2 linked regions of the Caenorhabditis elegans genome follow. The protein of the gene in region 1 purifies or fractionates together with the protein of each later gene. This does not show direct contact. Each region holds a gene or a part of one and is shown on either strand. Other genes may lie near its edges. The genes, in order: D1053.3 and tag-321.

Region 1 (6,880 bases):
ATTTATACAGTTTAAAAGTTGCTCATTTCCACCAATGCACTGTTTGTTTTTAATAATTGAAGATAATCAAAGTTTCGAATTTTTTGTTTGGTCAGACATTTTCCTTCCTGTACTTCCTTTTAGTTGTCGGATAACAAAGTTAAAACCCTTCTCCTCACTTTCACTTCACTTGGGTCAACAAACGTTGTGACCTACAGTTTTTTGACTTTCCACAGCGTGCTTTGTGACTTTTGTATTTGATCTACACAGTCATAACACATTGTGCAGACTATTCGAATTTTATTGATATTTTATCAATAGAAACCACAGTAAAAACACACAATTTAAAACATCTGGAAAATATTTGGAAGTATGTAGCCCGTTTTAAATAGTATCTTTTGATGAATCTCATTTTTCCATTCTTGAAAATTCAAAACGTTTCATTTTCCCATCTTTTGGAGCAAAAAAATTCGAAAAATGTCGTTCTGCGGTAGATGTTTTTGTTTACTTATTTATCTTCAGTCCACATTCTCCCACGCGTTTTTTATTTTCCAATGATTTATTTTCAATCGGTTCGGGTTCGCTGATCTTATTCATGAAAAATACATTGCATTCGTTGATCGGATTATGTTTTTCCCCAGCAAAACATATTTTTGTTGCAGTTTGAACGCTAGAAGTAGTAAGCAGAAGAAAGAACCATTGGTTTCTTCAGTTTATATAGCAATTCGAATAAAATGATATCAGAATTCAATTAAAACGTTGAAACAATTTTGAAAAAATAAGAGTTCGGTTTTTTTGTATGAAATTTTAGTTCATTTTAACAACTTATTAATCAAATTACATTCAACTTTGATAAAAACAGATAAAGTCGAAATTCATTGTCTTTTGTCATTCTTTCTTTTGTGTCGAATTTTGTTCTCTTTCGAAAGTTGCCACAAATGTGACACTTTTAGGATTCAAAACCTATACGCTCATTTAACAATTTTTCTCCTTGCTCTTGAATATTAAACTACGATCTGTTCCGTTACTGAGAAAATGTTGGCATAAGAAGCTACACAAAAACATCGTTAGAAATTGAATTCCAGTTAATTTTTTAATTTTCAAAAAAAATTATAAACCCCCAATTGTTTTATTCAGTTGTACTGTATCACATTTAAACTAAACATGAACGTATGTTTAAATATTCAATTTTTCTCCTACGATCTCTTCCAACTTTCATCGTTAGATATTAAATTTGATTTTCAAATTTGCTGATCCATCACCAGAAGTTCTGATTTTTTGCATTTCGAATATAATAGTGATGCAACTAATTTTTTCGGATTGCAATCTGTTAGTGATGATTTCACAAGAATTCCCATTCCATTTACGAGCAATTGCAGAACTTTCGAAACGTCACCAATATTCAATAGTATTCTTATCAATTCTCTATGATTTTTATCACTAAACTGTAATTGTGCTGAGTTCAAAGAACTATTTGTTCATTAAAGGTGTGCAGCTTTTTGAATAAAAAACTTTGTTATGAAAACATCAGAAAATTATGATTATATTTAAACTGTATGGCTAACAACGGTAATCTAAAATATGAACAATGACCAAGAGAAACTAGTTTTTTGTAATCAGAACTTTTGTGTGGCGAATTCACACTCTAACCTAACCCACAGATCATCCCCACAACGTGATTCATTTTTTGCAACCGATCAAATATCTATCCCGATTTTTAAAGTTGATATCATTTTTAAAATGTACAATCCTAACATAAGGAGCTAAATGAAACCCTAAACTCGTGCAAAAATGAGAAAAAAACGAGACTACGCGAAAAATGGGCGGGGCTAGATCTCTGTTCCTCTCTCTTTTTGATGCGTCTTCCTGGCGACCCTCTCGGCAAAGAGAGGAATTTTTTGTCATCGTGGTTGCCCTCGGAGATTCACAAAGTCCATCGAAATTTTCATTCACTCTTGTTTCTAAGTTCTGTTTTTAAAATTTTCGCTTTAAGGAGAGCTTTCTCAGAAAAAAAGTCCAACTATTTCAGACCGATATGACTAATCAGAAAGAAGAAACAAGAAACGAACGGAAGGCTGTGATTCTTGGATCAGGACACAAAGCTTTATTTGTAAGTTGGAATATTTTATCAATACTTATTTTTCACACTAAAGTTATGACAACTTGAACATGCATCAAATTTTTTACTGATATTACGTTTGCGTTGTTTTTGTTTAATTTGGAACATCGTAGTTCAAAAAGTCTTAAACGTGAGTAAGTCAGAATCGACTATTTCAATTGTTAACAAAGTTTTTGAATTTAAAATTGTTAAGAGAAAATAATGTTTTTTTGTCTGAAACTGTCAAACTGTTCATTGATCGTGTGTGGTCACAAAGTTCAATTGATGCAAATCACTACTTCCCCCATACACAGTTTTCCGAGTTTTTTTGTATTTTTCAGTAGTTTGAATATTGTATTTTCAGTTCAAACAACTCTGTGATGCAGCATCCAATTATGAAAAACATGTCCATTATCCAGATGTTCACTACCTTACCATCGATCACATGGGAACAGAGCATGTGGTGGAAATCACCGATCCAGGATTGGTTAGTGATCTTTTCCTGTTGTTTTCTGTTATTCAGCTACCGTTTTCTTTTATTGTCGGAAGAAAATTGGGTTTTCACAACACGTGTTTATTTGATGGGTCGGAGCAGTCAGCCGGTTGTCTCATGGTATACAAAAAAATTGGAAAAGTAGGGCGCGAGGGTAATGTGAGAAACACTTGTGCCACCGCAAAGACAAGGAACATTTACCGGTTAACGGCTCTGCTAATGAATGATCAGTAGCGAAATTCACACAAGAGTACAGTCAAGTGGGAACAAGACAAAAAAGTTGGTTTTGTTGGAATTTGGGTTAGATCAAAGAAGTCGTTAGAACTACACCAAAGTGATCAGGATTAGTCAGAAACTTAAAAAAAAAGATGATCATAAAAAAAGGCTCCATATCATAATTTATTAATATTCAAATCCTCAAATACAAAAAAGCAAAGCATAAAGTTTTTATAAACCGGAAATTTAGATAAATTTTAAGATCACAGTTAGTATTCTTGCAATTCTCTAATTTAACCAGTTTTTCAGTTGTGAGTGAACTCCAAATTGTGCTTAAACCTGAGTAAAACTGTAACAACATACTCTAAGTAGGTAATTTTTAATCCCATAATTTGCAAATGGTTTGAATCACTTTCAAACTTGTTTTTCTAGTTATGTTTTGCTGTTTGAAATTTTAAAAGCTGATCTGGATCCCATCAAAAATTTAAACAAATGTAATAGATTTTTAGTATAGAGTTTGCTCCCTTTAGATCTTTTGATCTTAATAAGTTTTTGTCTGGGCACGACGAATAATACAAACTTGTGATTATATTAATTAAACTACAACTTTCACATTTTCATAGTTTTGTTCCAATATCAAAGTTGCACTTTTGATTCCACAAATTGTTTCAGGCTCGCACAGGAAATCGGGAAATGGCTCTGACAGCAGCTGATTATGCGATTCTATACTATTCTGCACTAAACATTGATTCTCTTCAAGCTCTTCAGTCACTTGTCCAACCTCTCCAAAATCGAAAAAACGTGAGACAATTTATTTTTTGATTGACAATCCAGGGGCTTCAGCCTATCGAATGGCAGCGGAAATGAAACGGATTAGGTGTATGATTTCTCCCCCAGTTATTTTCTCATAGAAGCACAACGTGCGCATGATTTTGCTGTTGCTAGACAAAAAATAGATTTCCGTTTCCCAGGGTAGTACGAAAATCGAATTGGTTAAACGAAATGCTCTGCAAGACCGATGGTGACAGCTGTGAAAAAAATGCGTAGTGCCACAAGAATAGTAACAGAGAGAGCTGTAAAAAACCTCTGTGCCACTCTTGTTATTTGCCTACCAAGACGCCGAAAGTTTGCGAGTTTGAACGGGTTGCTCTTTGTGCAAATAGATACAGCCGATGCTTGAGAAAAATGATTTTTCTCTTTCATCTCCTATTATATTTTTGTGTCCAACAGCTGATGTCGGACTATTGGTAGTCTGGAACTTTGAAGAATGTGACTTGGAAAAAAGGAAATGTAAACATGAGATGTTGAAACACTTTATTCGGAGTATTCTGTAGATGTAAGATGATATTTACCTAGAATCGGGAAACATGAAACTATTGGAAATTGGTAACCCAATATGGAAATGGGTAATATCAGCAAAAAATGAGACAAAAAACCAAACAGTCCATAAATGAAACAAAACATATTTCAGCTTCACATTCTTCTTGTATGTGATTCAGACGAAGTGATACCAGAAGAAACTGCATCAGCACATACAAGTTCCACGTCGGAAGGTAAAAATGAGTCACGGAGGAAAGATGTTCCACATCATTTCACACAATTTCAGGGTATGAGTCAGATGACCGAGATGGTATGAAAAGACACTATTCAATGGAACAAATTCGTAAGGGATTGGATGATAACATATCTACTTCAGTTGCAGATCAGGTGAGTAGGGCATTTTTAACGTAAGGCTGTCAAACTGAGAATAAAACAAGCAGTACTACATGTATATCCTTCTGTTAAAAACGTGACGCCTAATTGCTGATTAATTATTATAATAGCCACACATATTCTGCATGAATATGTATTGTGTGTAATAGTAATCTTATTTTTGAAAAACTTCCGAGTTGCAGTTAAAACACACCGATAGAAAATGCGAGTATATTTTTAAATATTTTATTTTGAGTTAGTTGAAGATACGTAATAGTCACACATGGAACAAAATATATATTTAATTGTTTTGTTGGCACTTGCCACAATAAAGTGATTATAGTCTCTGGAGCTATGATAGAGAAAAGCATACAGTATTTTTAAAAATATGAATTTAATGAACAAAAAAAATTCCAACTGAAAATTGAAATTTATAGGGTGGGTCATATTTATGTGGACTCGTATCGCGGTTATTCACCGCTCGTGATTACTCTAAACTTGAAGCACCGCAAAAAATATATGCTTTTAAAGTTTGATATCAAATTTTTTCCTATAATAGAAACTTGTGAAAAATCCAATCAAATTTTATAGTCGCGAGCAGTCTTATGTTAAAATGTCCAATGCCCTAGGACAAGATAAATGCACTTATTGTTTATTATAACTGCTGATATTCAATTTCAGGGCGAACAACTGGCGCAGGAACTTGGAAGTCGGTGTTCATTTATGCAAATAAGTTCCAGTAGCTCTTCAGATGCAAAGAAAGTATTAACACAAATGATTATGTCCATCAACAAATCTGGTCCCACGCGAAATCGGAGAATGTCTAAAATTGCAAGGCAAGTATTTTAAATAACTCTCAAACTTATCCGAGAAATTTTTGCAAACATTTTTTAAAGCTGCTCAAAGTTTTTGCCAGGAAGTCAAAATTTAGTTTTCTAAACAAGAAAATATTGTAAGAAACTTTCAATATATGCCAAAATATTCTCAAAAATAGGCAGAAAGTTTGCCTTTATATTCATAAATAATACTAATATCAATATTAACGGAGCTACTTGATGTTTTGTTCTAACTTAATTGATATTAAAGGCCCCTGGAATTTCTTAATTTTTACTGAACAAGTTTACAATTAAGAACAAACAAGTACTTGAAGATGGTCACGAAAACTTAACAAAAAATATTGTTCACTTCTGCGAACAAGCTGGTAAACACCAAAATTCATTTTTTTTTGCAGCATTCTACGATCGAAATCATCCGACAAATCGGGAGAGAATATGATATTCGAGGCAGTGAATGAGAAAAAGAAAAATGGTAAAAAAGAAAAAGGAGAGAAAGTTGAAGATTCAAAAGTGTGCATCATAATGTAATGTGAGGAAATATGGAATGTCGTTTGATCTCAAATGGGAATAGATAATGCATTGTTTCGTATTATGGAAAAATTACTGAAACACAACTGTACTTAAATTTTAATGTTTCTTTTCTTGGTGAACTTTTCAGTTCTAGTCAGCTCCCCGAACCTCCCGGTAATTTTGAAATGTATGTTTCCAGTGAACTTGTGATATTGATGATAATTGGATTTTATAACAGTAGTTTGTGTATTTGTGTTTTATTAATTTTTGAGATTGGAATAAATAATTTGTAAATAAACATTTTCTCCACTATTACATTTTTGGATGAAATCTTAACTAAAAGAGGGATTCAAAAACAATTTGAAAATAGCATTTCGATGCTTGAAATGTGTAAAATTTTGCGCGGTAGTTCACTGTATTAATATTTTACAAGACTAAAAAAATCCATTAATCACTTTTTGCATATTACTTTACAGTCCAATTAGAAGAAAAGCTCAATACCAACTAATGAATAACCTAATGGAACATACTTTTTTCAAGAGTTTGTTGTATACTGTGAAGTTACAGCGTAGACATTGTTGAAGCAGCCAGACGGATGACATAGGATTGATCACTGAAAAATGACAGATTATCAAAAGACCAGTTTTTAGAACCAGCTTCATCCCAATCCCTAGTCGACTGATCTTTACCTCTCTTGCGTTTCGACTGATTCAGGTCAGAAATAGAAATGTCGTTGATGGGAACTTTTTTGAGAATACTCAATGGACAAATCGATGACGGATTTTAGGATCACAACGACGAGGGATTCAGAGACTTGCGAGGACAGCAGAGAACGGACAGACTAACATGGAAGGACATTTTGAAACGTTTTATAAATAGGACGGTTGATTTAAAAACAACAATTTATTGGACCAACTTGAGTGATAGTACAGATTGCAAGAAGTTGGTTTTTTAAATCATAAACGTGCTACATTGACGCACTGAGAAGAGACTGAGGGGAAAACAAAGGAGATGAAAGATCTATAGGGAGTGAAGGGGAGATCTTAAATAGAAAAT
Region 2 (3,895 bases), on another chromosome or scaffold:
CTATCGAACGACCTATGTACTCCACTCGGAGAACTCTAGTGTTGAGTTCTTTCGGCAATTTCTCTCCTGTTTTTATTTGTTCTTTGCATATATTAATGATTTTAACGTAACATTTAATTAAACATTTTTTTAATAATATCAGCAAAATCCGCTGTCAAATATTTCATAAGATGTCACCACTTCGTCAGTTTTCAGTGACTGGTGCCAGCCTTCCATTCGATTATTTAGTGTAAACTTATTTGTTGTTTACTCCATTGAACACATTTTCTCTAATACCCCTCTTGAGCCAAATCCCGACAATTTTTCAGGAATGTCAGATGGAATAACTCTCGATTTTGCCAATCAAATTATCCAATATTGTGCAGAAATTCGAGAATTGTACGAAATTGAAGAATACGTCCGACAGCCGAATGACCATAATTTACTAGAGTTTCTTTATGATCTCAGTACTTTTTTGCTTGAATTAGGTAAGGAATGAAGATAATACAATTAATTTATTTCGTTTTCAGAATGTCCTCATGAAGAACTGACATGCGGTGATATTAGAACACGTTTCCAATCTTCATCAGCAAAGAAGCTTCTTGAAAGTTTTCTTGATTCAGAAGTCAAAACTGCTCGTCTCATTACTAGACAAAGAATTGAATCGGGTGAAATTGTAAGTTTTCTTTTGAAATATTGCATTTAAGTTGCCAAAACACAACTGGAAATATCTCGGATTTATCATTAATCACATTTTCTCAAATTTTTGCTTTATATTTTCTATTTAACTTTGTTTTTTCTTGCTTTTTAGTCTCAAGTCCCTCCACTTCGACCTAAATAATTCATTAAGGTCTCCGAAAAACGTGATCTCGAACTGACTCCACTTATTGATTCTGCCCTTCGAACACTCAACTTCCCTAAACAAGCAGGAAATTCTAATGAATGGAAACTCTTGGAAACTTTGAGACAAAAGGTATTAATAATTCATTGAAGAAACCCTCTCAAATTCTATTTTCAGACAGATGGACGCGTTTCCCAAAGTCAAAGACATCCACTTTTCAAAGCGACTCTTGATGAAAATACACTTCCTGAAATTGAAAAACAGTGTGAATCGTTTTCTCGTGATTTTTACAATCGACTTCTACTTCTGAACAGTCGACTCAAGGTCACAGTTGAATCATTTTTATGGAATGATCGCCTCAAGATGCACAGAGAGAATATTCAATCAATTCTTTCTGCTCGTGTCGATGAAATTGGACGAGTTAAAGCGAACAGTGACGTAGCTCATCTTCTTTCTGCAAGTTCTTCATTGCTCTATATTCAAAAAGCGTCATCTATGGATAGAAGGTATTTTTATAAAAATGTATGGTAAAAACTATGAAATTGTATTTTCAGAGAACGAACAAAAAGCAAACAACATCCACTTTCAATTATGGATGCTCCAAAAGATCGTGGAGGACGCACAGAAGAAATGGTTGGAGTGAAACAAGAATCTTTCAGACAACAACAACATACTTTTGGTAAGTTTACTCATTGTTAATTGCGGAAAATTTCTTGAAATAACTATTTTCAGATAGGCAACATTCCCAAAATCGACAAAAAAGTACTTTCGACCGTCCAAAAACTCACGAGGAGCAGGTTTGTTGTGTTCAATCTTTTTCTAGCCATTGTGGCGTCATTAAAACATTGCTCTTATCAACTGTCATTTCTAGGTTCTCGAACAACACACTTCACGAGACAATAGTGGACAAAATTGGAGAGGAAGAGGTCGTGGAAGAGGCAGAGGACGAGGAGGCGGACGCGGATATCATTGAAATTTGATGTTTTGTCGTTTCTTATTCTTTTCAATTCATTCGGTGTTTTTTTCAAAATGGGCTCACAGTTCCTTTTTGTTTTAATTTATGAAAACTGTTTATAAATTGAATGTTTTTCTTTTTTTTGAAAATGGTTGTTTTCCAGTCAAATCCCTCTCACTCGTTATTAATTATGTATTATTCGTTAAATTTATTGGTCTTCTCATAAGTTAAATTACAGACCACGGCTTGCCGAAAGGCAAAAAAATGATCAGCTCGCCAGCTCGTCTGGCTTTTGCCATGATCGGCAGAGCGAGCTCTCGAACGCTTCTAACAAACCATTCTGTCACAAGTATCCGTCTATCGACTACAGCAGCTTTCAAACATCTTGATAAACTGATAATTGAAACTCCAAATGATGCTATGGAAATTGCAAGTCGTCTGACTATCATTGAACAACAGATGTTGAAATCGGCGTTAGACGATTGTTTGACAAAGAAAGAAGATGGGAAAGTAGAAGAACTTACTCAAGAGCAAGTAAAAGGAATATTTCTAGTCAATTCTATTCCTTTTATTGGATTCGGTGTTCTTGACAACATGATTATGATCCTAGCTGGCGAGTATATTGATCAAAAACTCGGGGCCGTTCTAGCTATATCAACTATGGCAGCCGCTGCACTCGGAAATCTTATCTCGGATATTGCTGGCGTTGGTCTCGCGCATTATGTAGAGGTTGCAGTGCAACGAGTTGGAATTAAACATCCTGTTTTGACATCTCAACAATTGGACAGTGGAAAGGTGAAAAAGGATCTATTGATTGTTTTTCAAAAAATGATAAAAAGTGTTAAAAATTTTATTCACACTGAACTTCTGCCCGAATAAATTCAGTCTGCAGCTGCTGCATGCAGCAGGGGTACAAATTGTGCCAATGTGGCATGTTTTCTCAATTTTTTTCAATAAAATTTAGTGATAGAATTTAGAAAAATATTTGTTTTATCTGATAATGAAGTTGAAAATTGCCGATAAATTTTTGAACGTTTTTTTACCAGAAATGTTCAACTACTGAACGAAAATGAGAAAAATAATCGTCTTTTTTCACACTCTAGAATTTTTAACTCTTTAAATTTAAAAAAATGATTTCAGGCCAGGTTCACAACGAATGCTGCAAGAGCAGCTGGTTTAACAGTCGGATGCTTACTCGGAATGTTTCCATTACTTTTCTTCAGCGACGACGAAGACGATGAAAAAAAGAAGAAAAAAGAATTGAAAGCAACTAAGCTTGAATAGAATTAGAATTTCTCATTGTAAATATTTAACTTTTGTTCAAAATACCTAAATGTTTCTGTATATTGCATAATCTTGTCCCTCTGCCAATACTAGTCAATCATTTCTATTTCCCTGTATGCCATTTGCATTTAAAAATTCCCTGTTATTTGCTCAAACTTCAATGTGCTTTACTCTATTTTATTCTTTAGTATAAAACTATCAGAACTGATAAGGTTTGAATAGATTATTTAATTGGTTCTTTATAGCCGTCGTGTATATTTTATATTCAAAAGTGGTTTTTCATGCTTTAGGAACAAATAATTACAGATGAGTGGTGGACAATATGTGACATATGTACAGGATCTAGAACAGGAACCGTTCGACGCAATTGATCTTGTTGAAAAACTGGCATGGAGAATGACCGGAAGTGCTCAGACTATAAACGATCCGGTTTCTTTGAAAATGCGATTCGAGGAAGAAATTGGCAGTTTACAGATGCTTTGTGATCAGTTTCAGGTTATTTTTCAATTTTCTGTTCGCATTAAAAAAAAGTGGAAATTTTTAGAACAAAATCAATACTCTTGAAAAGCAAATGAACGAGGAAAAGAAGGATTATGTACAAAAACTTCACCGTCTTCACGAGAAAAATGGAGAAGCAATTGATAAAATGAAACAATTAGATCATACAATGCAAGCAGTCTCTACAAAAGTTGTTCATCTTGGTGATCAACTTGAATCCGTCGATCAACCACGTTCACGAGCTCATGATGCTCATCAATTGATGCAACATTTCGATGAATTCCTCTCAGATCAACCTCTCAATTCCATGATTTTCACTGATCCTGATAAGCTTCTCG

The links.
Region 2: the proteins of D1053.3 (region 1) and tag-321 fractionate together in Caenorhabditis elegans (co-fractionation; one large-scale study listed by BioGRID). This does not show direct contact.

What each region holds. Positions count from the first base shown.
Region 1 is NC_003284.9:11,728,825-11,735,704, reverse strand, and holds D1053.3 (Ras family protein), read left to right. Parts: upstream 1-2,002; 5' UTR 2,003-2,014; coding exon 2,015-2,089; intron 2,090-2,441; coding exon 2,442-2,564; intron 2,565-3,458; coding exon 3,459-3,587; intron 3,588-4,257; coding exon 4,258-4,339; intron 4,340-4,392; coding exon 4,393-4,493; intron 4,494-5,159; coding exon 5,160-5,314; intron 5,315-5,709; coding exon 5,710-5,842; 3' UTR 5,843-6,119; downstream 6,120-6,880.
Region 2 is NC_003282.8:7,781,970-7,785,864, reverse strand, and holds tag-321 (Transmembrane protein 65), read left to right. Parts: upstream 1-2,013; 5' UTR 2,014-2,039; coding exon 2,040-2,570; intron 2,571-2,581; exon of another isoform or gene 2,582-2,602; intron 2,603-2,915; coding exon 2,916-3,059; 3' UTR 3,060-3,266; downstream 3,267-3,895. Other genes in the region: tag-322 (uncharacterized protein), read left to right, coding at 311-467, 510-655, 830-952, 998-1,326, 1,375-1,499, 1,553-1,617, 1,692-1,793; sec-10 (Exocyst complex component 5), read left to right, coding at 3,366-3,554, 3,604-3,895.